Nothobranchius furzeri: one gene and its partners. The protein of the gene in region 1 purifies or fractionates together with the protein of each later gene. This does not show direct contact. Links are inferred from orthologs where the notes say so. Each region holds a gene or a part of one and is shown in the gene's direction. Other genes may lie near its edges. The genes, in order: sart3, lsm4, lsm8, tut1 and larp7.

Evidence for each region.
Region 2: the proteins of sart3 (region 1) and lsm4 purify together in Homo sapiens (affinity purification with mass spectrometry; 4 studies listed by BioGRID and IntAct, counting the BioPlex papers as one, with this or other methods). This does not show direct contact. The link is inferred for Nothobranchius furzeri from reciprocal best matches to the Homo sapiens genes SART3 and LSM4.
Region 3: the proteins of sart3 (region 1) and lsm8 purify together in Homo sapiens (affinity purification with mass spectrometry; 4 studies listed by BioGRID and IntAct, counting the BioPlex papers as one, with this or other methods). This does not show direct contact. The link is inferred for Nothobranchius furzeri from reciprocal best matches to the Homo sapiens genes SART3 and LSM8.
Region 4: the proteins of sart3 (region 1) and tut1 purify together in Homo sapiens (co-immunoprecipitation; 4 studies listed by BioGRID and IntAct, counting the BioPlex papers as one, with this or other methods). This does not show direct contact. The link is inferred for Nothobranchius furzeri from reciprocal best matches to the Homo sapiens genes SART3 and TUT1.
Region 5: the proteins of sart3 (region 1) and larp7 purify together in Homo sapiens (affinity purification with mass spectrometry; 4 studies listed by BioGRID and IntAct, counting the BioPlex papers as one, with this or other methods). This does not show direct contact. The link is inferred for Nothobranchius furzeri from reciprocal best matches to the Homo sapiens genes SART3 and LARP7.

What each region holds. Positions count from the first base shown.
Region 1 is NC_091757.1:45,782,860-45,787,747, forward strand, and holds part of sart3 (squamous cell carcinoma antigen recognized by T-cells 3), read left to right. Parts: coding exon 1-18; intron 19-123; coding exon 124-248; intron 249-332; coding exon 333-488; intron 489-603; coding exon 604-742; intron 743-836; coding exon 837-944; intron 945-1,027; coding exon 1,028-1,105; intron 1,106-1,187; coding exon 1,188-1,246; intron 1,247-1,459; coding exon 1,460-1,569; intron 1,570-1,645; coding exon 1,646-1,758; intron 1,759-2,340; coding exon 2,341-2,417; intron 2,418-2,502; coding exon 2,503-2,671; intron 2,672-2,741; coding exon 2,742-3,193; intron 3,194-3,669; coding exon 3,670-3,822; intron 3,823-3,920; coding exon 3,921-4,108; intron 4,109-4,665; coding exon 4,666-4,852; 3' UTR 4,853-4,888. UniProt on the Homo sapiens protein: U6 snRNP-binding protein that functions as a recycling factor of the splicing machinery. Promotes the initial reassembly of U4 and U6 snRNPs following their ejection from the spliceosome during its maturation.
Region 2 is NC_091748.1:65,760,612-65,767,355, reverse strand, and holds lsm4 (U6 snRNA-associated Sm-like protein LSm4), read left to right. Parts: upstream 1-2,348; 5' UTR 2,349-2,485; coding exon 2,486-2,488; intron 2,489-3,297; coding exon 3,298-3,339; intron 3,340-3,824; coding exon 3,825-3,923; intron 3,924-4,428; coding exon 4,429-4,609; intron 4,610-4,689; coding exon 4,690-4,796; 3' UTR 4,797-5,307; downstream 5,308-6,744. Other genes in the region: probable ATP-dependent RNA helicase DDX49, read right to left, coding at 6,563-6,742. UniProt on the Homo sapiens protein: Plays a role in pre-mRNA splicing as component of the U4/U6-U5 tri-snRNP complex that is involved in spliceosome assembly, and as component of the precatalytic spliceosome (spliceosome B complex).
Region 3 is NC_091741.1:34,218,290-34,224,954, reverse strand, and holds lsm8 (LSM8 homolog, U6 small nuclear RNA associated), read left to right. Parts: upstream 1-2,704; 5' UTR 2,705-3,329; coding exon 3,330-3,360; intron 3,361-3,827; coding exon 3,828-3,868; intron 3,869-4,337; coding exon 4,338-4,465; intron 4,466-4,588; coding exon 4,589-4,679; 3' UTR 4,680-4,900; downstream 4,901-6,665. UniProt on the Homo sapiens protein: Plays a role in pre-mRNA splicing as component of the U4/U6-U5 tri-snRNP complex that is involved in spliceosome assembly, and as component of the precatalytic spliceosome (spliceosome B complex).
Region 4 is NC_091756.1:31,148,938-31,154,112, reverse strand, and holds part of tut1 (speckle targeted PIP5K1A-regulated poly(A) polymerase), read left to right. Parts: intron 1-852; coding exon 853-1,043; intron 1,044-1,143; coding exon 1,144-1,350; intron 1,351-1,549; coding exon 1,550-1,664; intron 1,665-1,758; coding exon 1,759-1,886; intron 1,887-1,986; coding exon 1,987-2,213; intron 2,214-2,297; coding exon 2,298-2,407; intron 2,408-3,882; coding exon 3,883-4,005; intron 4,006-4,900; coding exon 4,901-4,993; intron 4,994-5,072; coding exon 5,073-5,175. UniProt on the Homo sapiens protein: Poly(A) polymerase that creates the 3'-poly(A) tail of specific pre-mRNAs. Localizes to nuclear speckles together with PIP5K1A and mediates polyadenylation of a select set of mRNAs, such as HMOX1.
Region 5 is NC_091742.1:73,347,702-73,353,860, forward strand, and holds part of larp7 (la-related protein 7), read left to right. Parts: intron 1-2,768; coding exon 2,769-2,933; intron 2,934-3,013; coding exon 3,014-3,116; intron 3,117-3,194; coding exon 3,195-3,491; intron 3,492-6,090; coding exon 6,091-6,159. UniProt on the Homo sapiens protein: RNA-binding protein that specifically binds distinct small nuclear RNA (snRNAs) and regulates their processing and function.

The sequences.
Region 1 (4,888 bases):
TGGCCGTTCCACTAATGGGTAGGCATGGCACCTCCTCTGTCCAGATGGCTTCTGCACAGATGGGCTGGCTGGATGTCACGACTTCTTCGATGAACAAGTTTAAATTGCTTACTGCTTTTGCAGAAATGGAAACCACCTATGCTGAGTATGAGGAGTGGTCTGAAAACGGGGTTCCTGAGACTGTCGTCCATCAGTACAAAAAGGCTTTGCAGCAGATGCAGAAGTGCAAATCTTATGAAGAAGCTCTGGTAACTGAACACTTATCTTTTTTTTAAGTGGTTTGCACAAAGTGTTTTTGCAGCGCATGTCATTTCTGCTATATCTTTCTCTAGCTGGTAGCAGAACCTCCTAAACTGGCAGAATATCAGGCCTACATTGAGTTTGAGCTAAAGGAGGGGGACCCACCACGGATCCAGATTACCTTCGAGCGAGCTCTGGCTGAGAACTGCCTGGTTCCAGACATGTGGACTAAATACACCACATATCTCGTGAGTATTGGTTACTGTTCGCAGTCGTGTCATTACAGCATCTAAGGTTTCAGAAGTAAATAAATGAAAAAATCACAGCTAGTCAGAGTGTAAAAGGTCCTTACTGGTTTTACAGGATCGTCAGCTGAAGATCAAAGACTTGGTTCTGTCCACTCACGAGCGAGCGGTCAGGAACTGCCCGTGGACCATGAGTCTGTGGAAGAGCTACCTGTTGGCCCTGGAGAGGCATGGCAGTGACCATCACACTGTGTCAGGTAGCGGCTAGGTTCAGCATCAAGTCGACCAGTCAGCTGCTTTATTAGTGTCAAGCGTTTGTGAAGCAGATTGATGTTAATCTCTTCTGCACAGATGTTTTTGAGAAGGCTCTGAACGCAGGCTTCATTCAAGCCACAGATTATGTAGAAATTTGGCAGGCCTACCTGGACTACCTGAGGAGACGTGTGGATTTCTCTAAAGGTGAGAGCAGATCTGTGTCTAAAACAGTTGCTGTCTTTAAGTTTTAGTCTGATGGCTTTTGTTTTAATTTATTTTGTTTCTAGAGTCGAGTAAAGAGCTAGAAGAGCTACGAGCAGCCTTCTCTCGGTCTCTGGACTACATGAAACAAGATGTAGAAGAAAGTAGGCGAGCTTCACTTCCTCTACTCTGGACGTTCTTCGGGCCTGGTTTTGGTTTTCACGCTGCCATCTTGTGTCTCTGCAGGGTTTGGTGAAAGTGGAGATCCCTCTTGTGTCATCATGCAGATTTGGGCACGGATAGAGGTAAGATCAGTCACCGTGGCAACCATTTACAGACGCCGGTGTCAAATAATGGAATGACAAAGAGTGAATGAGGCATCAGCTGCTGCTAGAGCGCTGATTTTCTTTAGTTAGATGTTATAAATCTGTTTGTACTTTTCAGTGAAGACTAAAAAAAGTTTGCTTTTTTTTAAATTTATTATAGAAATTCTCATGTTCTTCTTACTTTTCCACCAGGCCCGCCACTGCAAGAACATGCAAAAAGCCAGAGAGCTATGGGACAGCATCATGACCAAAGGGAATGCCAAATATGCCAACATGTGGTTGGAATACTACAACCTTGAAAGGTTTGTCTGTTGGGAGTTGGCGATTCTCTCGTGACTTTGTGAATATTCTCTCATTTCTATTGTTCATGATCCGCAGGGCCTACGGGGACACTGCTCACTGCAGGAAGGCTCTTCACAGAGCTGTCCAGTGCTCCTCGGACTACCCAGAACACGCCTGTGAAGTCCTGCTCACGTTTGAGAGAGTAGAAGGTGAGCTTTGCCCCAAAACAAAGCAAAGGGAGAGTGTTTTATTATTTATTGTTCATGTGTACCGTATTTTCCGAACTATAAGTCGCACTTTTTTTCATAGTCTGGCTGGTCCTGCGACTTAAATACCAAATTATGTATACCGCGCTGCTGCAGGCTGGCTCCGGACCAGGAATGAGCTCCCCTGCCCTGCTGGGAGGGTTTCAAACACCGCCATCACCTGCTGGAGACCGTGGCACGCTGCTGCGCCCTGATTGTTTTTTCTGTTATTGTTACCAGTACTTGTCTTGCAATTTGAAATGCTTGGTCTCAGATTTTGTAAGAAAAATAATAAAATTTCCCCCCAAAATGCGACTTATATATGTTTTTTTCTTATTCATTATACATTTTATGGCTGGTGCGACTTATACTCCGGAAACTACGGTATTTAGTGACAGGATAGAGGCGTCATAATTAAGATTTATTACTGGAGGAACGACTCAAGTGGATGATTTAGCATCTTTGCAGCAAATCCAACTTACATTTCCCAACAGTTGCACTCTCATGTAAGCAGTTAGTTGCTTAAATGTTTCTGTCGTCATGCAGGAACTTTGGAGGATTGGGACACGGCGGTGCAAAAGACGGAGACCAGACTGAACAGAGTTAATGAACAACGAGCGAAGGTAGAGGCACACGTCTCTGCTGCAGAGGGCAGGCGCGTCGTTCGGCTACGTTTGGTTAACGTTACCGTACCCCCCCATTTATCAGGCGGCTGAGAGAGGAGCCACCCAGGTCCGCCAAGAGGAGGAGAGGGTTGAGCAGCGGCGGAAGGCCAAGGCAGATAAGAAGTCTCAGAAGAAGGTGCAAAAGGGTCGAGCTGGAGAGAAGAGGAAAGCGGGACGGGATGACGATCAGGATGAATGGAACAAGGATTCTGGTAAAATTTAGTTAGTGATAAAATGTTGGTTTTAGCAAAATGTGTTTTATTAATTCTTTTTTCTTTCAAGCTCCTAAAAGGCAGAGAGCAGGCGGCGACAACAGCGCTACAGATGAGTTCATGGAGACGGAGACCGAACTCTTAGGGAGAAACGCTCCCCCTGGATATAAACCCGGAGGCGGCACTAAAAAGCCCCAGCAGGAAGCAGGGCTCCCCCCCCGGAACCAAAACGACGAAAAGCCGGAGCTGCGAGACGATACCTCCAGCGTGTTCATCAGCAACCTGGCGTACACCATGGAGGAGCCCGAGGCGAAGCTGAAGGCGCTTTTTGAGACCTGCGGTCCGATCAAGCAGATCCGACCGGTCTTCAGCAACAAAGGGAGCTTCAAAGGTTACTGCTACTTACAGTTCGAGTCCTTGGTGTCGGTCTCCGAAGCGCTGAAGCTGGACAGACGGGAAGTGGAGGGCAGGCCGATGTTCGTGTCTCCCTGTGTGGACAAAAGCAAAAATCCTGACTTTAAGGTGAGTAAATGTAACACATAACTTCTGCCTGGAGGTCCACATCTGGAACATCTTAATCTGCTTCCTTGATATGTGGCATTGATTGAGTTAATCCAGGGTTTGTGATGATTTGACTGTTTTCTGAGGATGATCAGGATTATTTTACAGCTGTTTTAACGTGAAAATAATTATTTTGAGATGCTGAATAATTAAATGACAGACTTGTAAAAACACACAGATGTGCTGAAGTCTCTCTGCAGGTTTCCCATCATGATTAAGCTCACACTTATGTCTCCTCTAGTTTGAGCTCTGACTGGCGTTTTTTGCAGCTCTCATCTTGGCGGTGATTCTGCAGCCTGTTGTTTTCCCGTTAATCCTGCTTTGATGAAAGCTTCAAACTGGGGATTAAATCACATAAACGTCCATCTGATTGTCCTCAAGTTCTGAAAGTTGGGTTAGAATCACACCCTGATGTCTGGATGTGAATTTCCTTACAGGTGTTTAAGTACAACACGTCGTTGGAAAAACACAAGATCTTCATCTCCGGGCTGCCGTTCTCCATCACTAAAGAGCAGCTGGAGGAAATGTGTAAAAACCACGGCTCCGTCCGAGAGGTCCGTCTAGTCACATATCGCTCAGGAAAGCCTAAGGTGAGACTTGGGAGGACAGTAGGGACTAAAGGACGCCCGATAATCAGCACCTGTGGTCCTCCGGCTGCTGAGTGACGTTTGTTGTGGATGCTCCGCAGGGTTTGGCGTACGTGGAGTTTGCTGATGAAGCGCAGGCCTCTCAGGCAGTTCTGAAACTGGATGGCATGGATGTGGAGGGCTGCAAAATCTCTGTTGCTATAAGCAACCCTCCTCGTAGGAGTATGATGGACAAGCCCGGTTCTAGCCGGCCCGCGGCGGATATGATGTCCCGTCAGGTCTACGGAGCGTACGTGAAGTCATTCCTTCTTTCTGGTCTTCCTTTGAAAATCCCACCTCAGACCTCATCTGTTTAACCCTTTGATGCATAATGGTCACTACAGTGGACAGGTACTCAAAATTGTTATTTATTTGTTTTTGCTGTTAAGCACAGCTGTTGAAGACTTTTTTGCATGTGAGCCCCTCCGTTTGGACTTTAGTAAGCCAAGCCAACATATTTCATGCTCTGAATGCACGCTGTCCACTGAGGTGGACATGTAATAAACTATTTGTAAATTATAAAATTTTACAAAAAATATTTGTTGAAATTTGTTTCATCCACACCTAAAGATGAATGAAAAAAATTGTTAAAAAAATCATGGTTGAAGATTTCATAATTCATGCATCAAAGGGTTAAAATGCTGCCTGACTGAACCTGCCTGTGTAATAATAACATTTTAAATAAGCCTTTATTGTGTTCCATTTTAAGATATGAGCGGTGCAAACTGCTAAAACGCGTTACTTTCTTAGCATATTTTGTGTTTTCTGAAGTTACTCTTATGGAAAAAATCATTTTTCTTATTTTAGGAGAGGCAAAGGGCGAACTCAGCTCTCCTTACTCCCTCGTTCCCTGCATCGTCAAACGGCGCCTGTGGGTAAAGTAGAGAACGGGACTGCGGCTGAGCGAGCGACGGCCAGCACGGCGCCCAACGCCGCCGGGGAGTCCAGATCTTTGTCGAACGCAGACTTTGCCAAGATGCTTCTGAATAAATGATACAAAGAGGAGAAAAACAACCGCCTTCACACTGAA
Region 2 (6,744 bases), on another chromosome or scaffold:
GTGTGCCCCCCCAAACAGGGAAAACCAGAATGTGTGTGTGTGTGTGTGTGTGTGAGTGTGTGTGTGTGTGTGTGTGTGTGTGTGTGTGTGTGTGTGTACGTGTGTGTGTGTGGGTGGGCAACTTGCACTTTAAACTTCCGAAGCACTTTCAATCACAGTAACTTAAACTTAATTCACTCAAAACACTTCAAAAAGATAAAGAAACAACACAAAAGATCAATCATAAATGAATATCTGATAGTTTGTCAGTCTGGCCACAGCATAAAAACTATTTAAGATATTAAACAATGACAAACAACAAAACGGCTTACTCTTAAAAGGATCCGATGGCGTTTTTGGTACGGAGAAGAGAAAACCGATATAATTTGAAGCAATAGCGCGGTTTTATTGCTTGTTCTGAACTATAGGAGAAACGGAAGAAGAAGTTAGATAGGAAAAAAACAAAAGCTTGCGTGAGCGAACCCCCAAGGCGTCCCTTTTGTGTTCGCGCTGCAGGTCAGATGGTTTCTCCGTTGATTTGATGGTTTTCCGCTGCTTTTCCGCGTCTCGGCGTTGTCCACTTCAGCCGCCTGGCCTCATGCACAATCTGTCCGGAGCCGTAGCAAACGGGTGTCTTCAACCACCAGCTGAAGCTGGAACAAAAGACGAGTTAAGTTTCATTTCGTCTCCCTTTTGTAGACTCTGGCGGTCCGGCGGGAGAAACTGTGTGGCTCCCGCACATGCGCAGAACTTGTTTCCGGTATTCGGCGGTGACGTCATCACATTGCTTCCGGCTCAAGGAATCATGGGAAATGAAGTTGTAGCTGGCGCTGATGTTTAATATTATCTGCTTTTTCAGAGCGCAGATGACAGTTTTTGGAGAAAATGCTGCATAGCAATTTTCTCATGAGGGCATGCTGGCGCTGGAACATATTCCAGCTTTTCAGAGCAAATGACACAGTCTTTTGGAGAAAATACTGAGTAGCAATTTCTCATGAGGGCAGACCCTCTACAGTAGCAACAAAGTATATAGCTATGGCATGGAAATCTCTCCATAGACCCAATGTGAAGAACTGGATGAAACAGATGTTACAGGTAATGCCGCTGGAATGGATTACTTATATCTTAAAAGCCAAGCAACACTTATTTGACAAAATATGGACACCTTTTCTAACATATATTAAGAAGATGGACATAAAAATCTGAGGACTTATAAAGTGGGAGAGTATAGGAAAATACTCGGTCTTCTGACCAGCATTAAGACTGGAATGGGAGAAGCAAAAGCGAGGTGTAATTCGGGGACTTCTTGCTCACAGTTTTGTTAAACATGTCTATGTGCATATTGCCTTCAGTACTATATATGCTCTTACGTTGGAGAGGATCGCCAAAAGCCGAAGCACAACCAAAATTGTTATATTGTTCTACTGTTCTGTTGTTCCCTGATGATTTTATACAGAATGTACTTTCAATATACAACATAATACTGTGTAAAAGGTGTACACAGAAAATTTAATAAAATATACTTTTTGAAAAAAAAATGTAGTCAAAGATCCATCAGATTGATATTTCATATTTCTATGGAATCTCACATTTTATGGTTCATAAGTAAGATGGAAACGACTCATTCTTTACAAGTGCACAAATAACTCAGATTATAAACTTTACAACATTAACAAAATATAGCACCAAGGATCTGTGCAGGACAACCTGCCAAGAATGTGCATTGTTAGTTATAGACGTTATGGTGCATTTAATCTTTAACTGACACCTCTAATGGTTTATTACTCTTAACATTTAGTATAATGGGGCAATTTCAAAATTTACCACTTTGCAATGGCCATGTCCTCCCATTTGAAGATGTTTGTCTTTTTATGCAAAATTCACTCTTGAAGACAAATAATTTGATATAATTTTTATGAAAGCTATGGCTTTAGTAAGACTGCTGCAGCCTTTTACTGCGGTCAGGCCTATACAATTAACAGCATCACATAATATCTTCACCAATAAATAAATTATGAAGTATCAACAAAAAATTTTTTACTTATTGAGCTCATTTATTCTCATCACGTTCTAACTGATTAAAATATGGAGTGTGTTCATAATTATGTGTTATAAATTACTGTAAAAAAGCTTTTCTGATCAAAGTGACTTACCAATGAAACTTTAGCACTGTTTATATTTTCTGCTGGTTTCAAACTACTCCTTCGGAAGACTCTTGTTTGTTCTCATAATTAAGAAAATGATCTATTCAGACACTTTTAAGTTTAAACAGTGGTCTCAGTGTGGCCACAAAATAAAACGCGCGGAGAGAAAGTGCAGGTTTCGACGCTAGGGGGCAGTGTGCTGTGGTGAAGCCGCCGTTTGTAGTAGAATAAGAAAACGCAGAAGGCTAAAAGGAAATCCTTTCCCCAGGCTGGATTCGACCGCCAGAAGAAGAAGAAAGCTGGATTCGACCATTCGCCACAGCCTTAGGTTCGCCGCGTAAAACAAGCTATAAACCGTCATAATGGTGAGTATCTAACCTCTAGTTGTGGGTAGTTGAGAATGTATTCTTTAATAGGTCATCTTTGGTTCGGCTGACGGAAACCGTGTTAACATTTTTAATAAATTATACCGAAGTGAAAGCTTTAAGATGCTAAGCATGTAGCTAAAATAAACCGTAACATTTAGCTTTATTCAGGAGCCAGTAGACCTACCACAACTTCAGAAGTGTTGTTGTGTTATAAACGTGTTTAAATGACCTGATTTAATTCTGTAGTTTTATGGGTTCGGGGTGAATTACTCTATATTCTCATAAGAACAGCAAAAATTACCTTGTTCCTCACACTGGATGCCAAATGTATACGTTTGGGTGTAAAAACTAGATTTTAAAAAGTTAAAGAAGCATGCAAAATACAGTAAATTAATCAAAATATGAACTGCAAAGAAACTATGCAGAGTTGTTGCACACATTTGTGCAAGTAATGTCCCACATTAGCTGGAACGTGTATCAGTTAGTTAAAGGCGGATTATAATCCCAGTATCAGATAAAGGTACAAAGTAAACAGGTTAATAATCAGACTGAAATGTTAATGTACCAAGTAGAAATTAAGCGTCAGGAGCTCAGCTGTTCAGAAGTCTGGTGGCTGTGGGAAAGTGTGTGCCTCCTGTCTGAAGGTAAAACTGTTGATGTTGGTGGTGAAGAGCCTCTGATCGGGTGGTTGCTCTCCAGTAGACTCTGGATTCTTGGTTTCATGCGGTTTATTATGCGTCAGAAATAATGCTGTAAATGAGGTCTATTCTGTTAAATTAGATTTCAATCTGGTGTTTTATTTTCAGCTTCCCCTGTCACTCTTAAAGACCGCTCAGAATCATCCCATGGTGAGGCAAAACCTTGATTTTAAGTCTGATATTCTTTACAATATTGTATCCTTTAGGCTGTGTCATTAGTTATGTGAAGAAGCATCTGTTCTCTATGTAAATAATAACCTGCTTTAGTAAATTACAAGTGAAACTTAAAAAAAATACAGTATGGTGCAAAAGGTCGTTTATTTCAGTGATTGAACTAAAAAGTGAAACTAATGTATGAGATGGACTCATTACATGCAAAGCCAGATGTTTCGGCCTTTATCTGTTATATTTGTTATGATTTTGCCTTACAGCTTATCAAAACCCCACATTCAAAATATCAGACAACTAGAATATTGTGAAAAGGTTCATATTCTAGCCTCAAAGAGTCACACTCTAATTAGCTAATGATTAGAGCTAATTTTTTGTTCTTGACTTTAGTTTAGTTTGTCTGATCTGTTATTAGAACTTGCTCATTGTATGATTTTTAGCTTATAAAGCAGTGTGCTCTTTATTAGCTGGTGGAGCTGAAGAATGGAGAGACCTACAACGGTCACCTGGTCAGCTGTGACAACTGGATGAACATCAACCTGAGAGAAGTCATCTGCACATCCAGGGTGAAACATGCTTCTCCCTTTAATAAAATGTGACCTTTTGACAAAGGGAAAATACCAAAATATTTTAATTTGCTTAATGTGCTTTCATATTTGGTCTCTCATGAGACATTTGTATGTACAGTATATTTGCACAACTGTGTTGTGAAGGACAGCCTGCCTATGTGAACTGAGAAGTCTGCAGAATCCTGCACTGAAACTATCAGAACAGCTTCAGACAACAGCTGAGATACAATGATTGATTCATAGTGACTGTAAGAACAGACACAGTGCGCTAACTGGACCATCAGTGACTGTAATAATTTTTAAATTGTGCAGCTTTGTGGTGTTTTTGTACATGTAAACAAAAGAAAGATGGGTGATCACAACTAAACATGATCATTTGCCTATTATCCCCTCAGTCGGGTTTATTGTGCTAGACTTTAGGTAAATTAACATAAATGCAAAATAGAAGTGTTATTAATTGAGGAATTTAATTTAAACAGAAACTCTCACCATCTTTTTACAGGATGGAGATAAATTCTGGAGGATGCCTGAGTGCTACATCCGAGGAAGCACCATCAAATATCTGCGTATCCCAGATGAGATCATTGACATGGTGAGGGAGGAGGTGGTGTCGAAAGGACGAGGTCGCGGCGGCTCTCAGCAGAATAAACAACAGGGCAAAGGAAGAGGAGGGCCCGGCCGAGGTGAAGGATGCCGTTTGATCAGGTTGGTTTTGAACTCATGTAGAATTGATTTGTTGGACTGAACACAGCTGTTCCTGTAGGTGTGTTTGGTGGTCGTGGGAGAGGGATGTCTGGGCCTGGTCGAGGACAGCAGCAGCAGCAGGATAAGAAAGCAGGAAAACCACAGGGGATGAAAAACCAGCACTGACACACAATGATGCTTCGTTTGTTTTAAACACTTCCTGTTGAGGGACGTCTGCCTCAGTAACAATGACATCAACTCTGCTGTTTCTCTCTGTTGTGATGTTTACAACAACCGATTGTTGCCAGATAATACTTTAGTTTGATTTTTTTAAATCCTTTTTATTGGTGTAGAAAAGTCGAGGCCCAAATTTAGTTTAGTAGATATTTTAACTGGCTTTTTCCTCATTTCTGTAGTTTACTTCCAGCTTTGTTATCTGAAAGATTTTCTTTATAACCACAGCTGGTGAAGCAGTAGAGCGACAGCCAACAGGACTCACTTCCTGAATATTTCTGTTTAAACCTTTATAAGACGGCATGCACTGATTATGCTTTCTGAAAAAGAATAAAACGTTCTCTTATTCTCTAGTCCAACATGGAGGAGTCCATACTTCCTTGGGTTGATTGTGTTTCGCTTAATTTTTGTAACAAACGACATGGTAATTTATTTACGAGAATAAAAGTTTGTTTGAGCAGTTGCAGTTTTCCTTTAAATCTTCTGATTGTCATTTATTTACAACAGGTGTGTTTAAACTGGACATGGCCTTAAAGCCAGCAGCTTTCATTAGCAGTAAAAGGGCAGAAGGCCCAAAGGGGAAGTAACACAAACTTAATCTGAATAAAATATACAGCAGAAAGTTAAATTTAAGGACTAATCACAGAATTGGATCATTTGACCTTTAAATTTTTTGTATTTTTGAGCCGTTGTGGCTACAGATGATAAAAACTAGAAGTTTAGCAGATATTTAGAATATTGTGGAAAAGTGAAATATAGTAAACTCATGACGTCACATCCTAATCACCTTATCAATGCCAGAGGCATGTTTTCAGCACCAACACACCTGGTTTGAATCAATGTGATTAACAGCCGATTTGAGGCTCAGGAAACCATTACAGGTGTTTGTGGGTGATAAGCTGATTAGGGTGTGACATGAGTCTCCAATATTTAATCTCTATAGTCGATACAATATTACTAATAAAATAATTTCATTCTGTAATTCACTTTCTGAAACTACTCAATGAAACTTTTCCCACTATATTTAATTTTTAAGAAATGCAGCTTTTTCCTTTAAGACCAGGTTCTTCTTTCTTCTCCGTGAGCCTTGGCCTCCATATTTCAAACTAAAACTAGATTTTAGAACAATTGAATAGCCCTGATCTAGACCTGGAGCAGTGGGATATGTGATCGTGTGGAAGACGACCATTAAAAATGATAATGGGTCGAGTTCAGATGAACCAGATATGGAAAGGCAAGAAAACACCACCAGAGGAGCCATCAAACCTGGTAGCAGCAAGCCCACCGCAGCACCCGAGGTACCCACACAGGGTGAAAACGGGAGGGAGGTCATAGGCCCCACCCAGGCAGCAACAATTGACAACCACCCCCGAAGCAAAGGACCCCCCCACACACACAGAGGAAATACAGGTGAATTTGATCATTTTCATGTTTGCTTTTATAGAGCCGATAGAATGACGAATGCTGAGTCTGTGGCGTCTAAAGGTCAGATCCAAAACGACCGATTTTGTCACACAGCTGGAGCTAAACTGGACTGAGGCATCAATAAGCTGTAGATACATATTTGAAGCCTGAAGTCTTCTTTGCAGTGACATTTCATGACAAGATGGTGGTTCACTTGTTCAAACTGAATCAACAAAGATTGTTAATGTAAGCGGTTTGAAAGATGAATGTTCATTTGCAGGTGCAGCAAAAAACATTTGGAGCTGAAGCTGTCTTCACGATGCAGCTGACTCCGCTTCTTTCTTCCTTTTTATCTGTCTTTTCTTCATCGCTTTCTTTTTTAATTGTCCGTGGTTCTGCCTCTGAACACTCTCCCGGATTTTCTGTTTGAACTTCTTCTTCTGGCTCCTGATCTTCTCCAGCTCAGCTTTCCTTTTAGCCTCCAGGTCCGGATCCT
Region 3 (6,665 bases), on another chromosome or scaffold:
CTAAAATGGGAGGTGGCCACCACCGCCGTTTTGACCGTGTCACAGGTTCCGTCAAGCCCAGACAATTCCATAAAAGGGAAGAGAGGTGGAGCTGAGGGTGGGGCTGTAAGGCTGGGATCAGCTGACAACACCTGGTCGAACTAGCTACAAGCTAACCTGAAGCTAATGCGGAGGTGGGAGCTAAGCTAACGGAGGTAGCAACCTAGCTACAACCGGAGTTAACTGTGCACAACATCAGAGCTTCTGAGTCAGAGATACGCCGGGCTGACCGCTGGGTAAAACCGGGTGGAACACAGAGGTCTCCGAGAGCTCCCCAAGCCGGCAGCTGCACAGCAGACAGAAAACGCGATCAGACAGAGATGTGCTGGGCTGCGGGGAGGGAAGAACCGGGTGGAAAACATCGGTCTCCCGAGAGCTCCACAAGCCGATAGTGGGAACCCAGCTCCACCAACATGTTATATTTCAACCCATTTTCTAAAGTGCAGCATTATGTTAAATGCACTGGGTTTTACCCTATTACATTTACATTTCATGGTTAAACAGTACATGTTAAAATCTAAGCTCAGCTCAGCAGTGACCTAAAATACATAAATATAATTTTACTTACCGAAAATAATGAAGTGGAGACTCCTTGGACGCTCTATTAGTGCAATTAATGCCACAGCAAGTCATTTTGTCCAACAATTACACAAAAAATATCCAAAAAGAATACACACACACAGAGACTCAAAATCCCGGAGCAGTTTCCAGGCCAGACCGAGGCTCTACTGAGGCCTTTCCACGGAGCTAGCTCTGTGGTCACGTGGGTCAGATGCCAGAGGTGGAAAGAGTACTAAAATTTCCTACTTAATTACGAGTACCAATACTTTGATAATTTTTTACTCAATTACAAGTAAAAGTACTTGCCTAAATTTTTACTCAAGTAAAAGTAAAAGGTATCGTAAACAAAATGTACTCAAAGTAAAAGTTACTTAGTTACATTTTTGTCAGCGTAAGGATGGCTACATCTAAGTAGTGCTAAATCGCAACGGCAGTTCACAATTCGCTTGTGTGTGCGCACACACACACTCAAACACGCACGGCTTGAAGGAAGGATTTCTATCCAATCAGTGAGAACAGGACGTGCACATTGATTGGACGAGGTTTTTCTAGGATGGTAAGTTTCAATTGTGATTCAAATTATTCTTTATTTTGAGAAAAAATAATTTTTTTAGATGCCATCAGCATGTGAGGTATCTCAATGTCCTCATGACAAAACTCTAACATGAGACTGTGCTCTAACCTGTCACATAGCAAGCCTAATGCAGTCAAACATGTCAGATGGACCGTATGACAGCTGCTAACGTTGGCCCTGCCCTACTTTACCTCTACATTACAGTTCCTTTATCCATGTCCATCCTAGAGATCCTCTCTGACCTTCATGCTTATTTAGAGCAGCTGATTTTTAAAGCTAGCAGAGTTCATCCTTGGCAGTGGGTTCACTCACTCATTTAACCCTTCACCACTGAAATCAGTTTGTTCATTTCAATCCTCCTAAATAATCCTCCAATCATCCAACTGGAATCCTTAAGGGTCCCGTAACATCCATCCTGTCAGAACAGGCCTTGGGAGCCCAGGTGTTACTAGAACTAACGGTGTCTCCTCACCAGCGTGAGCCTCCAAACATGAACTTTAAATTCATGCATTTATCTCCTCTTGTAACACTTTAACATGTTTTAAAAGGCTTGTATCATGATAAGTTACACCTCCCAGACCAAAGATAAGATAAAACATTATCATAAACACTGCAGAGACGTCATTATTTATGAAATATATGTTATTTTCCTGAGCCGTTACTTCACCCAAGATATGAGATGCATGGATTTGATGAAACCACGCTGTCTCATGCAGTCCTATATGTGTAACACACACACACACACACACACACGCACGCCATGACTAATTTAACTACATTGAATTGCTTTAGTAATAATTTAATCTCTAATTCTGGAGTAAAATAAAGAAACAAGCTAAATCATCACATATCTGTGGCATCAAGGAGCAACTTCTGAGTTCAAACACAGGGATGGAGCACAATGTTTACACCTGAACAGTATCATGATGTTTTAACTCACAGAGGCCTGCAGCTCTTCTGTTTATGAGCAAAGCGCTGATAATCCGCTTGTTATGAGCACTAAACAGTATTTTGCCGCTGCCGTGCGGAGCGGTAGGGAAACACATTTCAAACACGGAACCGAGTCTCGCTACCGAACCGAGCAGAATTCTGATGATGTCACACTGGTGCGCGAAGGTGCAGGTTCCAACCACAGGAGAGGAGGGAGAGAGGTGATAAACAGCGAGTTGATCGACTGAACTGATGATGTCTTTGAGCAAAAGTGTACACCCCCACACACCCCCGGTTTAGATGCGGTCCTCATGCAGGTGTCTCTTTCCGTTCTGACGCTGCTTCACGTAATATTTTTAATTTATTAAGCCTATAATTTATTTTTACTCAGTAACGGATATGATTTAAAATGTAGCGAATTACAATTCTTTTTAAAAAACTTACTCAAGTAAAAGTACAGATTTTAAAAATGACTTAAAAAGTATAAATATACAAAAAAGCTACTCAATTACAGTAACGTGAGTAAATGTAATTCATTACTTTCCACCTCTGTCGGATGCTCGAGCATCAGGAAGCAGAAAAGGAAAGACAATAGAAAATGTTTAAAGGGAGGAAAACGTAGACCAAAATGAAAAATAAATTTAAAAAAGGCAAAAGCTCAGGAGCACTGACAGGAAGAAGAAAGCAGAGCAAATATTGGAGGCACTCAAAGGGAGAGAAAGACATGAATAAAGAGGAGGACTAATAAAAAGGGAAAATAACTCATGGCAGAAGAGGGGAGAGTTTTGTAAATCCAATTAAAAGTAAGATTGCCGAAATTTATTTTAAGGGGGCCCCATGTCTGTGCTCGCCTTGGGCCCCAAATTGCTAAATGCGCCACTGATAGGGCTATAGTGTGTTTCATTTCTGTACCCAATATTTTGTCTTTAGGGTTGTAGCTCTGACATCACCTACTCACACGTTTAAACAACTTTCCAGATCAATGTTTGATGATAACATTTGGAGGAATTTGAATAAAAAAAACGTCACCGCTCGACCCTCCGCGCCCCTTCCTGCGCGATGATTCGGCGTATGATTAGTCTTGACTTGTCTCCGGTGTTTTGGTGCGGTGCGGTTTGATGCTCTTTCCGTTTTATTTTTTTACACAGCGGCGCAAATAGACAACCGTTGGAGGGATTTACCGATTTTTCTGCTGGACAGATAGAGACCGAGTCCGGGACGAAGCATGTCCACCGCGCTGGAGAGCTACATCAACCGTATCTTGCTGCTAGCATGCTAACTGCATGCTTAAGAAGTGCTAGTTAGCTTAGCGCGCTAGCTTCGATGTTTATGTAATTTGTTGTTGTTTAGGTGGAGTTTAGAGACGGTAAAAGCTAAAGCGACAAAAAAACTACTCATTTTTATTTAGAACTGAATGAACATACCTGGAATAACTTTTACGTAGCAGTTCAATTTCAAATCAGTGTTTGCATAAAAAAAAATCACTGATAGAATTTTATATGATCAGATGGCGTCAAAACGTAGATATTAACGGTTCTGATCTGCGTTAGTTCGGTTTCACGGGTTGTGAATAAAATATATTTAGTTTGTTTCTGATTTAAGATGTCGGGTTATTTAACTGAAGCACACCCATCGTTGTTGTTCGGGTGAAAACGGAGAAGCTAGACGTAATTTACTGATGAGTTGTGCACAGATGATGTTTCCTTGACTCCAGCTGATCCAGGAACTGTTGCCATCGTCACCTCAGACGGGAGGATGATCGTGGTGAGTTCACGTTTTCAGCTCAGCTGGACAGCAGAGAAGATGATACGGTTCTGGTGTTTAGATGTTTGAGGCTCCAGCACAAGGATTTCCCCTCCACCTGAACCGAAGCCTCATTTAAACCGGTGTCGGTCACAGGGGATTTAGTTTTTCCCTCGACTGTAAATCCAGAAATCTAGTCCTGTTCCCATCACTACAGATGCTGACAGACACGTTTTTACTTTTATGGTCAGATTTTTACTGTTTTGGGGCATAAAACTGCAGATAACTGAAAATCATTTTGAAATAAAAGTTCAAGTGTAATCTGAACTATTAGTATTTTATTAGCCTGGTTGTTTTAAGTATGATTCATTGTAGCTCAACACCACCAGCGTGTTGATGAATAATAATATTAAGTTGCTTTGGAATCCTCTGACTGAAAGGTGCTGTACTTATTTATTTATATTTATTTATTTATCATTTGGGTGTTCAGGGCACTTTGAAGGGCTTTGATCAGACCATCAACCTGATCCTGGATGAGAGCCACGAGCGCGTGTTCAGCTCCAACCAGGGGGTGGAGCAGGTGGTGCTGGGCCTCTACATCGTTAGAGGAGACAACGTGTGAGTCACCTCGGTCAAACTAAAACTAAATGAGAAATGATGACCCCTAAGGACGTCCCGGTGCACGGGGAGCTCGGCTGCTCCTCGGACAGCTTCTAACCGTTTCTCGTGTTTCTGCTCCAGCGCCGTGATCGGGGAGATTGATGAGGAGACCGACTCCACGCTGGATTTAGGGAACATCAGAGCTGAGCCGCTCAACTCTGTTGTACACTGACCTTTGAACCCTGCTGTCTCCATGGCAACCCATCACAGTACAGCTCAGTTCTGTTGCTGTCGTGTTCTGGGAGGCGTGATGAGTGGTGAAGCTGCAGAACCTCGATTGTTCTGTTTCTGTTTGTATTTTTTATAAATAACATGTTGGATTTGTTTTCTACTTCATGTTTTTGTCAGTCTGAGATCATTTTAATAAAGTCTGATTTGTTAAGCTGTTTATAATGAAGTCCTCCGGTCTCTAAACATCCAGACTCTGGAGCAGAACAAGAAAACAACACATAAACAATGAAACTTTAATAAAATATGTGGAAAAACAAGATCGTTGCCAAAGAAACATTAAATAGCGCCAACTCTACGGCTTTGTTCAAACAGCTCATGGTCTCTATTTTAGTTCTGATATCTTTAGTCATGAATGAGTAATTATTTCTCCATCTGGAAGAAGAATGAGGATCTGTCCTGTTCTCATTTGTCTAGCATCGATTAATCGGGGCTGCCTATGGACAATCGTTAGCATTGACTGCCGATGCTCGCTTGGATTAGAGGCGATTGAATCCACTTGAGAATCGTTCGTGGAGCCGGGAGAGGAGGGGAGCGCTTTGTCAAGCAGGAATTTATCAGGAGAGCCCCGATGTTCAAGGTTCAAGGTTGTCTTTATTAATCCCCAAGGGGGAAATTGAATTGCCTTGGACAAGTAAACACAACATGCACATCCACACAATAAAACATTCACTGGTCCTAATAAAATATGAAAATATCAAATATACAATCATACGAAATGGTCATTGTAAAAACGCACTGCAGCTGGAATAAAAGAGTTCCTAAAACGTTCAGTGGAGCACCGGGGCGTTAACATTCGCCCACTGAAAGAGCTCCCGAGATCCTTAAAAATGTGGTGAAGGGGGTGATCCTCCAGAGTCATAACTGTCTTAAGTTTACGCTTAATCCTTTTGTCGATGATCATGTCAAATGAGTCCAAGCGTTGCCCAACCACTGAGCCAGATTTCTTGATCATTTTGTTGATCCTGTTTTTGTCCTCAGCAATGAGGCTCCTGCCCCAACACAACACAGCATAAAACAACACACTGGACATAATCCCCTGATAAAACACATTCAAGAGCCTCCTACTTATATCAAAGGATCTTAGCTTCCTAAGAAAAAACAATCTGGACTGGGCCTTTTTAACAACAGCATCACTGTTCCTTTTCCAGTTTAACTTATCGTCGAGGTACACCCCGAGATATTTATATGTCTCCACAGTTTCTACAGGTTGACCTTTGATGACCACTGGAGAGAATGTTCTAAACTTGCTTCCTGGATCCACCCCCTAGGTGAAGCCTACAACAGAAGGACAGTGTGAGCGTCCTGTCACAATGTCCCGATTGATCATGCGCCCTGGCTACTTGGCCAAGGGGATGTCCCTTTGGCTGACTGGTTAGAGCGTATAACTCTCACCCGGGAGTCTGCGGATCGAATTCCGCCTGGGCCCTCGTTTATCCACCTTGCCACACACAAATAAAACATTTCACGTATCGGCAGCGAACCTGGTGTCCCGACGGCTGGAAACCTTGTCCTATTGTTGCAACAACACCCTCCACACCCTAGATGTGGCTTTGGTGTTCGCGTTCCATGTTCCACCGTTTAATTTTTAAAGTCTTCACTGGAAAAAATGATACACAAAATAAATTCACATTAAAAACACTGAAAATAAATAAGGGACTGTATTTTGGAAGTCATTCGTGATAATCCCAAATTAAAGCAAAAAATAAAAACAATCATTTAAAGACAAAGTGGTAGAATTTTATTCTCTGCTTTTAGTGGCAGATTGAGACGTCCAACATGTAAAACAGAACGCTACCGTTGGTTCTTCAATCCCCCTGCAGTAAGACTATAAATCCACAGTTGAACTGGTACTGGCATTATCCTTTGTCACATGACCCGTACCCAGATGTGCATCCTGTATGCCGTTTAGCTTTCGGTAATGGCCTAC
Region 4 (5,175 bases), on another chromosome or scaffold:
AATCTGCGGAGCTGAACAAAAACTAAGTGAGGCTTCTTCTTATTCATTTTCTAAATGTCACCATCTTGAGCTGTAAAATGAGACACTGCTAAGGCCTGCTGAATTGGTTAGGGATTGGTCTCGTGGTTTGTTAAGTCCCAGCAGTACACGACTAAAGAAACTACGAACTTAACATTTCTGAAGGATGACAGAATGGCATCAGTCTCCAGAAAAATCCATTTAAAGATCAAGTCACCCCCTACCAGAGTATTACTCCACTCCCACTTCCTGTTTGAAAAATGCAACAAATGCTGTTGCCTAGCAGACCGAGAGGGTGCAGCCGCTAACAAATACACACACACATAGGCTCACAACAACATTGTGACATCATATGGTACCAGCTAACATTCTAGGAAACCTCTTAGCCAAGAGCGATGGCAGATTTAAATTCAAGTGTAGAGCAGAGTTTTTACCTGACAACGGCACAACACTGACAATTTAAGGCAGAAAATTAAAAATTTAACAAGTGCAAAACTATTGACTACATGTGTCTGCAGCACGATTAGACACACATTTATTTAGTTTCTCATTTAAAAAAGGTTTATTTTTGGGTGACTTGCTCTTTAAATCCAGAAACAGATCCATTTGTTTAGTGTAAGATAAATCTGAACATCTGTAACGGTGGCTGGTAAAACGTTCAGACTGTTCTTTACATTTTTACTTACGGAGATCTCAACTTGTGTGTTTAAAATTTAATCTGCAAGAAATAGTTCTTTAGAATAAACAAAAACTTGATTAAACACAGTGAATCAGGATGTAAAGTGGTAGAAATCCCTCTGATTTACTAAATACTTTGATGTTGTTGCCGACCAGTGCCGAGTGTCGATCAGCATGTGAAGGGGCGAAAGCATCAGACCCTGACGACTGTACGAGACACCAGGAAGAACCAGGAGGAGCACAGTGTGTTTGTCAGTGGCATCAAGCCTGAAATCTCTCAGACGGACATCTCCGAATACTTCCAGCAGTTTGGGGCCGTCACAGATGTTATCATGGACAAAGGCAAGGTGGGACGGACTTCCTATTAGATGAAGCCTTCTCATGAAAGAGGCCGGGTGTTATAATCATGGGCAGAGTGACTGATGGTGTGTGTGTTTGTGCTCACAGGGTGTTTTTGCCATCGTGCAGTTCAGTGAAACGGAGAGCATCCAGGCAGCTTTGTCCTGTGTAGAGCACCGCATGAAGGGGCTGAAGCTGCGGGTCAAGCCTCGAGAAAAGAAGGAATTTAAGTTAATTCCCAAGAAGAAGAACAACCCCCAGAACCTCCAGCAGGTCCTAGATCGTCTCAGACCCGACTTGTGTCAGCTGGGATCTGTGAGCATCCGTACTAGAACTGATTTGACATAATCAGAAATGAACCGTGCAGCTGGGCAACATATTTATTACAGATTATTTAAAGAAAATACAGCATGATAATCCTCATGGTTCATGTGTCGTACAGCTCAGTAAATCAAGTGTTTCTATTTTTCTTTTTGAGATGATTGAACTAAAACAGTTTTTCTCGCTCCTTCAGGTGGATGCCCAGATGAAGTTCATAGTTGAGCGATTTCAGCTGGGAGAAAATGAAAAGAAGACTCGAGACTTGCTGGTTCAGCTCCTTCAAGAGGTTTTTGTTGAATTCTTTCCAGGTGAGGGCTTTAAAACTTGTAAACATTCAGATTCTGTGGCTTAATGATAAAAAAAATCAGCGTTTTTCTGTTTTTAACATTACGTGGGTCACAGACAGCCAGATTCTGCCCTTTGGTTCATCTGTGAACACTTTTGGCGTCCACTCGTGTGACTTGGACCTGTTCCTGGACCTAGAAAACACGAAGGTGTTCCAAGCTCGGGCCAAGTCCAGCACAGAGCAGGTCTGACTGTTTATCTAGGTGCAAATCTTTGTAGTTCACACATTCGGAGCTAAAACGTCACATTTTTCTAACAAATTCCCTCCCTGCGCCCGGTCGTCAGGCGGGTGAAGGAGTGTCAGACGATGCCCACTCTGAGGACTCCATCCTGTCTGACATCGATCTGTCCACAGCCTCTCCAGCTGAAGTTTTAGACTTGGTTGCCACCATCCTCAAGCGCTGCGTCCCCAGCGTGCACAAGGTCCACGTAGTCAGCACCGCTCGCCTCCCTGTGGTCAAGTTCCATCACCATGAGCTCAACCTGCAGGGAGACATCACGCTCAACAACAGGTCTCTGAGGACGGTTTTACATCTCTGAGATGTGAATTAAATGAAAACATGCAGGAGTTATTGTTTTCCTGTTTTGTTTGTTAGACTTGGCGTGAGGAACACGCGTTTCCTCCAGCTGTGTTCAGGGGTGGAGGAGAGGCTGAGGCCCCTGGTCTACACCATCCGCTACTGGGCCAAGCAGAAGCAGTTAGCTGGTAGGATGCAGTCCTGTTCATGCTTTCACCAGCAGATGTCAGCAGAGCTACACTGAGTCTGATCCTCATTTGATCGTTGTTGTTGAATCCTTTTGTGTGCAGGCATTGATATTAAATGAAATCTTATTAAAGGGATTCTGCTGTGAAAAGCAATTACCTTTTATTCCAGGTCCGTGTCTTCCTTTGAACTCCCCCCTCGGTGCTGCAAACACACCTTTCATTAAAGAGTGTGTGATGACATCTCAAAGTGTCATTTTAAGATGAAATTGTGGACTTGGAGCGATTGCTTTGATCATTGAGGCCAATTTCCACAAATACAAATAATCAAAGCAAATTATTGCGTCTTAGAAACAAACTTTTTAACTTCAAAACACATTTAACACAATATATGAAAGAATTTGAGTTTCTGGGAGACTAGTTGAACTCAGGAATCACGGTTGGTTATGTAGAAGGTAAAGCCAGTCTCCATCGGTATAACACAGCAGCACCTTTTACAGAATCTCCTCATAAAGTTACACATTTTAAATGAGAGCTCTGGGTTAATCAAAATGTTTTTGCTATTTCGATTTCAGCTCCAGACAATCACAAAAAAAACTTTCAGCTAAGTTTTATTATAATCTGATTTGGATCTCATATTTGGCTTTGGCTTCATGCTTGTGAAGGACACACCTCCACCCCGTCTGACAGCTAGACCCCTGCTGGGGTGGAGCTTTAACAGTCAGCACGAGGAAACACAACTGGCATTGATATATTTTTAATTATGACTCCTTCGTGTTGCCAACCTAGTGACTTTGTTGTTTTATTTTGCAAATTATTCAATCTTTCTTGTGACTCGTTCACACCAGGTTCACACATCCCCTCCCACCCCCCCACCCCCCCACACACACACACCAGAGCACCAGCATCTGTCCATCATCCAGCTGCAGCCAGGATGAAAACGCATTCCCTCTGTTGTGCATTGCCCAGCGATATGCTTCCATACGGGTCTGTGTGCAAGCATCGCCGTTCCTGAGAAAAAACACATTCTTGTGTGTTTTTGGACCTCCAGGCTTCTGTAGCAGCTCTCCTGCTTTAATGACAGTGCCACCTGGTTTCTTCGTGAACTAATTTAGTACTGAACGTTAGTATTTTGAGGCTGCGCAGTGGCGCAGTGGTTAGAGCTGTTGCCTTGCAGCGAGAAGGTCCTGGGTTCACTTCCCAGCCTGGGATCTTTCTGCATGGAGTTTGCAGGTTCTCCCTGTGCATGCGTGGGTTCTCTCTGGGTACTCCGGCTTCCTCCCACAGTCCAAAAACATGACTGTTAGGTTAATTGGTCTGTCTAAATTGTCCTTAGGTGTGAGTGTGTGTGTGTGCATGATTGTTTGTCCTGTGTGTCTGTGTTGCCCTGCGATGGACTGGCTCTCTGTCCGGTCACACACAGCAGCCTCATTATAACATGACATAGCACAGACATTTCCTGGTTTATCATCCTGCAGGTAATCCCAGTGGCTCGGGTCCTCTCCTCAACAACTACGCCCTGACACTGCTGGTCTTTTTCTACCTGCAGAACTGTGATCCTCCTGTCCTCCCCACCGTGGACCAGCTCAGAGATATGTCCTGTAAGTCCCACCTGTCCGCTCCTACATCAGCAGGTGTTGTTTGCACGTGCAGACACGTGAGGTGGAAACTGCACGGGTGTGTTTAAAATTATTCATGCTGAAATTATACTTTAGGGTTTGAGTTAGTCTTATTTGAGCTATCAAGGGAAAAAAAATGTTTTTATTTGGGGGGGGGGGGGGGGGGGCGCGCGACTAAATCATCTTTAGAACTAAGATTTTTCCTCAGATTAAGATGAAAAAATGTACAGAAAACTAAAATGTTGTATAATTTATTTTGGTTATGTCTGTTTAATTTTCCACATGGAGTTTTCTCTTCTGTGACGTGATTAATCAGGTCGATGTGACCACCTGCAGCTACCGTTCGCCTCCAGCTGTTTTATTCTCCCTATGTAGCGATGGAGTAGTAATCATACATTTATGTCCTGAATAGATTTTAGACTGAATTTTGTCTCGACACCCAGACGGTTTAACCCGAGTTAAACACAGCAGCACAGGTAACTATCTGGACTTGTTTGTTAAAAACTGGATTATTCTTGTTTATTCTGTGTTCTTTGGCATGCCCAGTCTCTAATCTGTGCTAGTGATGAGTGTGATGAGAGTTATCACTGGGGCGAGGCCATATCTCTTGATGTTTTTATGATGCTCTGTATGTCTACATCGTTCACACACGATCCAGGATGCTGCAGCTCATCCTTTACCCGTCGGTCAACGACAGGAGCACATGCCACCAGCCGTAGCTTCTCTCCACTGGCCTTCTGTCAGTTTAGGACTGATTTAGAGGTTTTACTGCTTAGTTTTCATGTTTTAACAAACCAGTTTCTCTTCAATGGCTTTCTGTTGTCCTTAGAGCCGGGAAAGTAACTTTAACTGTGTGTTTTTTTATGATCCTCTGCAGGTGAGGAGGAGGAGTGTGTGATTGAAGGCTGGAACTGCACCTTCCCAAGTCAGCCGATCGCTGTGCCGCCCTGTAAAAACACACAAGACCTCTGTAAGTCATTTAAAAACAGAAACATGCTTCCTGCTGACATTTCCAAGCATCACTAAACCTCCATGTTTTCTCTCTTCAGGTTCGCTGCTCGCTGGCTTCTTCTCCTTCTACGCCCAGTTTGATTTTGCCGGTAGCGTCATCTCTTTGAGGGAGGGACGTGCTCTTCCGATCACAAAATTCCT
Region 5 (6,159 bases), on another chromosome or scaffold:
GAAAGTCTGTGTTGCTCGGCGACAGCCCCAAAACATCACTGCTCTCGAGAAGATCTGCATGGAGGAATGGGCCAAAATACCAGCTACTGTGTGTGCAAACCTGGTAAAGACCTATAGTAATCGTTTGACCTCTGTTATTGCCAAAAAAGGTTATGTTACAAAGTATTGAGTTGAATTTTTGTTATTGACCAAATACTTATTTTTCCACCCTGATTTACAAATAAATTCTTTAAAAATCCTGCCATGTGAATTCATGGATTTTTTTTCACATTCTGTCTCTCACAGTTGAAGTGTACCTATGATGAAAATTACTGACCTCTGTCATCATTTTAAGTGGGAGAACTTGCACAATCGGTGGCTGACTAAATACTTTTTTGCCCCACTGTAGACTGAAACTAATAAATAAAAAACTAACAACATCCACTGCAGCAAATAACGTCTGCAAAGCATAACTAACAGCAGTTAGTAGAGTTGGACATGTTTGAATAGGAACACATTCGATTCCAATTACTTGTTTCAATTCTGGTTTCGAGTGATTTAGATTCTTTCAATAGACAGGGTCAAAAAACGTACAATGTTTTAAATGAGCCGGCTAACTATAGGTCTTACATGATGAAATAATCTGAACGTCCATCAATTTTATATACTTTGCAACATTTTTATATTTTTAAATCATTTTCTTGAGCCAGTATGCGCTAAAATGACCCATTACAGGGTTAATGAAATGTCACTCAGCCCTACCGCCCACTTTGGCCAGAATACTGCACTGCAACTTCAGAGTGGTGGGCCGCCTCCTGTTGCACTTAGTAGAGCGGAGCTGACAAACTCACTGGAGTCTGCTTCCAGCAGGTTTCCTGCATGTTTTAGATGCCAAAAATGAATCGCCCCTGTGGACACTAATGAAGCCTGGGGAGACATTTCAGCTGTTGGATTAAGGGGTTAAAAGGACCAACGCACAGCAAGGAGAAATGTTTCATTTTTTTGTTTTATTAGTGGACACTAGGAGGTGCTAAAAGCACGCCAGTACTGCATGTCGCGGTCTAAAAGTGACATTAGAATTTGCCTGAGAAGGAGCAAATATAGAAGGAAAAAGGATTGGTCCCAGGACCGAACCCTGGGGATCCTTCAATGAGCCGCTGTTACAGTGGATGAGTATTTCCATGCAGCCTTTTAAATGCGTCCCTGAAGAGTAGTGTTACATTGTTCTACAAAATTTTTGTTTCAAGTCTTACTTTTTACTCTCTACGCTTCCAGAACGCATCAAGCTCAGCAGTTCACATCAGGGCAAACAGGAAGTCATACAAAAGCAGTGTAAAACATCTTGAAACTTTCACAATAAAAGTGGTGTGAAAATTTCCAGTTGCTTAAAGTACAAGTTACCCTGACTGGAGTCTTACTGCACTGCACCAGTGACCGACAATGACATCACACACACGTTGCTCGGATAGTGAAACAGCAGCAGGCTTCCTAGTATGAAGCATTTCTTCACCAGAGGAAGGAGAGGAAAACAGAAGGATTAATGGAGGAGGTGAAAGGCTCCGAGCCGTATCGTTTCGTATCTTCTTGTGAGAGGCCGAGACTCATCTGCGGTGTAATGCGGCCATGCTAGAAATACTGGCTAGCCTAGATAATACCAGCTTAGCAATTAGCTATGACTGAAATTCAAATGTAGTTCTGACTTTTAACCTTAAGAGGGCACTACACTGGCAATTTTAGGCTCATTTTAAAAATTAGAAATAAGATGCAATAAAAACCACATTAAAGAACGTAAACCCTTGACCTGTTGGAACACGGGGCCGTCTTCCTGCTTGATGCTCATATACTGCTAGAATCAGGTGTAATTTTGCAGTTCTCCGATGACAATGCGGTACCAGCTTTGTGGAAGGCTTTCGCTGCCATTTCACATCTGAAACGCTCTTGGTGGGAAGGGATGCTTTGCTGAGCTCACAGGGAAAACGCATCTATTTCACTATGAAAGTTGATTGTTGCAACTCACTTCTCTTTGGTCTCTCAAGCAAGTCCCTCCATAAACTGCAGCTTCTCCAGAATGCTGCAGCACGTCATCTAGGACTCCATGATCTCACCACATCGCCCCCATCCTGCAACAACTTCATTGGCTGCCCATTAAACAGAGAATCAGTTTCAAAACTGTGCTCATCACATTCAAAGCTCTCCGTAACCTGGCTCCGCCCTACATTTCTGATCTCGTTCACATCACCACTCCTGTCCGCGCACTCCGTTCCTCTGCTGCTCCTCAACTCTCGGCTCCCTCCGCTCACCTTGTCACCATGGGGAGTAGAGCATTCAGCCGCTCTGCTCCCCACCTCTGGAATCCTCTTCCCCCGATCTACGCACCATTCACTCTCGCATTTTTAAAATCAAAACTTAAAACCCACCTCTTCAAACAGGCTTTTACCACATAGTTTTAATACATTGTTTCAAATTTTAGCATCCTAGCGTTTCTACATATTTCTGTACTGTGTTTATCTTGTTTTATTATTTTTCCCCATCGTTGTAAAGTGTCCTTGGGTGTCTTGAAAGGCGCTGTCAAATAAAATGTATTATTATTATTATTATTATTATTATTATGAGCTGCTTGTGCGTCTGCTGGAAAAGTCCGGTAAAGCTTTCACTGTTTCATACAGTTTTCAACACAGTAACACATGTCACATGGTGAGAAATGGCGCAGTTAGATTCATATTTAGACAGTCTCGTGGTTTTAAAGGGCATTACTGTTAAAGATGTATTATTTTTTATTATTTTTTAAGGAACTTCTGCCTAAAGATGTGAATCACAGCTGGATAGAACGAGTGTTTTCAAGGTGTGGGGTGGTTGTGTACGTTAGCATCCCGCGCTACAAGAGCACCGGTGACTCTAAAGGGTTTGCATTTGTGGAGTTTGAAAAGGAGGAACAAGCACAGAAAGCCATTGAGGTAACTTGGATGTTGTAATCGATTTAGACTCTGTAGTTTGTTTGTGAGAAACTCAGCCTCACAGGACTTTTCTGTCTTAGATGCTGAACAATCCACCAGAAGATGCTCCAAGGAAACCAGGGACTTTCCCCAAAACCCTCTGCAGGAAGCCGATTCCTTTTCCAGCTGACAATCCACCACCGCGTAGGTTTACAAATGGAAAACGCTTAACTAGGTTGTTAAACGCTGTTGGTGCGACACCTTGTTTTTATTGCACTGTAGGTGAAGAAGAGAAGAAGAAGAAAAAGAAGAAGAAAAAGAAGGACGTTACAGCAGAGCGAGCCCCAGCAGAGAAAATCCAAGAGATGGAAGCTGAACCATCTGAGGAGAAGAGGAAAGACCCAGCTGCCGGTTGTGATCCAGAGGTGGCCAGCACGCACAAAACGCCGCCTAAAGCATCAGAGAAAAAACGCCGCCGCTCACAAGCGGCAGAGGCTACAGAAGGTGACATACCGTCGAAGATTAGAAGAATAAGTGAAAGTGAGTCTGGACAGAAGGACAAAGATGGAGCGAAGATTGGTGAGTCACTAATCTGGTTTGATCAGGATCAAGGATCAAAGCCCACCAAAAGCAAAAATCTGGAGTTTTTACTCAGACGACACCATCTGGAGGTCGTAAATAAGTTTTGCACCTTTGAGCCCCTTTCCCTGTATCCATGATTACGACTGGAAGCAGCACCTCTCTTTCATGAATGCACAGCAGTAGCTGGCCACACATTGTGTTTACAATTATTATTCTCAAGTTATGATGTAGTGTATGTGAGACAGTCGGCACGCCAAGTTCCCGCTCCCTCAAAAGTTGCTACGTCAGCGGCTTTGTGCTGTGTGATCTAACTGCACATTTCCAACTGGCCTTTAATGGCTAGTGCAACTCCGTCCTTTCCAACAGATGCGTGTGCGGCGTGTAACGTAATAGTGGCGATTTACCTGTGAGCATCATTCCAACAGTGAGTGTTTCGGATGCAAAATGGGAGTGAAAGTGTTCCACCCCACTAGTCTTGGGATGTCACAAAATAGCGGTAGAATTGCAACACCACTCGTGATTTCAGAAGTTCATGCAGTAACTAGCAAGGAGAAAGTCCGCTGCATGCATCCAGAAAGGTCTGCGGTTTATTTCCTTCTCTGTTAAACTCGGCTACGGAGGTTTCACAGGACATGACATACTTTTTTTTTACTAGTTAAGCTACTGGAAATGTGCACCTGACTTTTCTTTAGAAAATCTGTGGACATTTTACAATGTTTTTGTGTTTAACTTCCTGTTTAGACTGACCTGAACTGCTGAGTTTGATGTGTTCTGGAAGCTTAGCACGTAAAAAAAAAAAAACCTTAAACGTAATCAAACTTTCTTTTCGCGTCGGCGGCTAATTGTTCTATGCTAGAACCTTCCTTTTACTCACATTGTTTTATGCTAAGCATAACTTACTGCTTCCAGATCAGCAGAATGACTGAGCTTGTTAGCTACCAAATCCTTTTTCTCTCTAACCTAACTGGGAAATCTAACAGACAAAATGCTACATAGGGGTGGAATATTCCCTTAAGTGTAAACCAGTGTTGGGAGTAATGCGGTACAAAAGTAATTAATTACTGTAATGCATTGCTTTTAGCAGTAATGTGGTAATGTAAGGCATTACAGGGAAAGAAAATGGTAATATTTACTCGGTACAACTGTCAGTAACGCGGTAATTACAATGCATTTTTAAACCCAGAATCAAGATGTGTTCCTTAAAAATTCAAATTGCGGGAAACCCGAAGAAAGATCCAGTATCTGCATATATGACGTCATTTATGGACTCAGCTTTGCGGGCAGAGAGGACGCAGCGGCAACGGCTCAAATACTCCAGCTGCGTCCTGCACGCGGCCGCTGTAACATTCACAAAATCGCTCCACTAAAACAAAATAATTCACTTGCGATCGTTCATATCAGCGCATGTTCTCTGGTATTTTGTGCTTTTCTGACGTGCTTTGCCTCAGCTGAGTTCATAATCTGTGCCCCGGTGATTTCAACTCATTACTGCTGGAGCGCCGCGCATGTGTAGATCCCTTTGGCTGATTAGTTAGAAAGTAGGAAGTCTAGGAAACAGTTTTTCTGGAAGACGGAGAAAACATGCAGCGTGCAGGAAGGTTAGAGAGAGAAAGGGCAGGAAATTATTCAAATAAAATCAAGAAAACAAAACAAAGTGCTTGAAAAGAAAAAAGTAGGTAGATTTATCCCCAATAGACATTTTACCAGTGAAAAGCAATAATATATAAGCATTTAATATTTATACATGTGATAGAATCAGATCACCCCAGAAGTCAGGCCCACATCCAGGGCCGTATCAAGGCATTTGGGGACCAAGGCAATATAGGCTTGGAGCCCCCACCACCCCACTCCCTGCTCAGTTAATATAAGACGGCAGCGTGTTGAGAGTACATATTATTGTTGCTTTTATTTAATAAACAATCATTTTAAAGCACTGTTATTATATGTGGCTGTTTTTAACAGCAATCCTAGCTCAGACACCACATCACCTTCCACATATATGTCATGAGCTCACTGGGCGTCACATTACCAGATTCATATTGAAGTTGTTTTGGTGAAAGTAACTTAAAGTAATGCAAAAGTAGTGTAATGCCTTACATTTTTAAATCAGTAATATTGTAATTTAATGAATTTCTTTAAAATGAGGGTAACAAGTTATAAATAATGCATTACAGTTTTGAAGTAACTTGCCCAACACTGGTGTAAACAATAAAAAAGCGGCAGATTTAAAAAAAATGTTATCGTTTTAAAAAAATAATGCCAGCAAATGGCCGAAATAGAAAAAATGGCATATATCGGTCGGCCTCTAGCGAAAACAACAGTCTGCATCGGTCTAGGAATGTTCTCAAATTTTCATGTATGCTCAGTGATTGATCTCTGTTCATGTGTTTACCTTTTGACCACATCCTTTCTAATAACCTGAATGATTAAAAGTCCATTAACCAGCCTAATTCATTCACTTTGGGATCGAACACTGGGAGTACAGAGGGTGGTTACGTCAGAATACACACCTACTTGAACAAAGTGATGATGCATGTGTTGAAAGTGTTGTGAAACCACGCGGTTTGTTGCAGTAATGATGCCCCCCCGCCCACAGAATCACACGCTGAAAGTGACACTGAGGAAAATGTTGAGAAAGGGAAAGACAACGGTGATGACTCAGCCG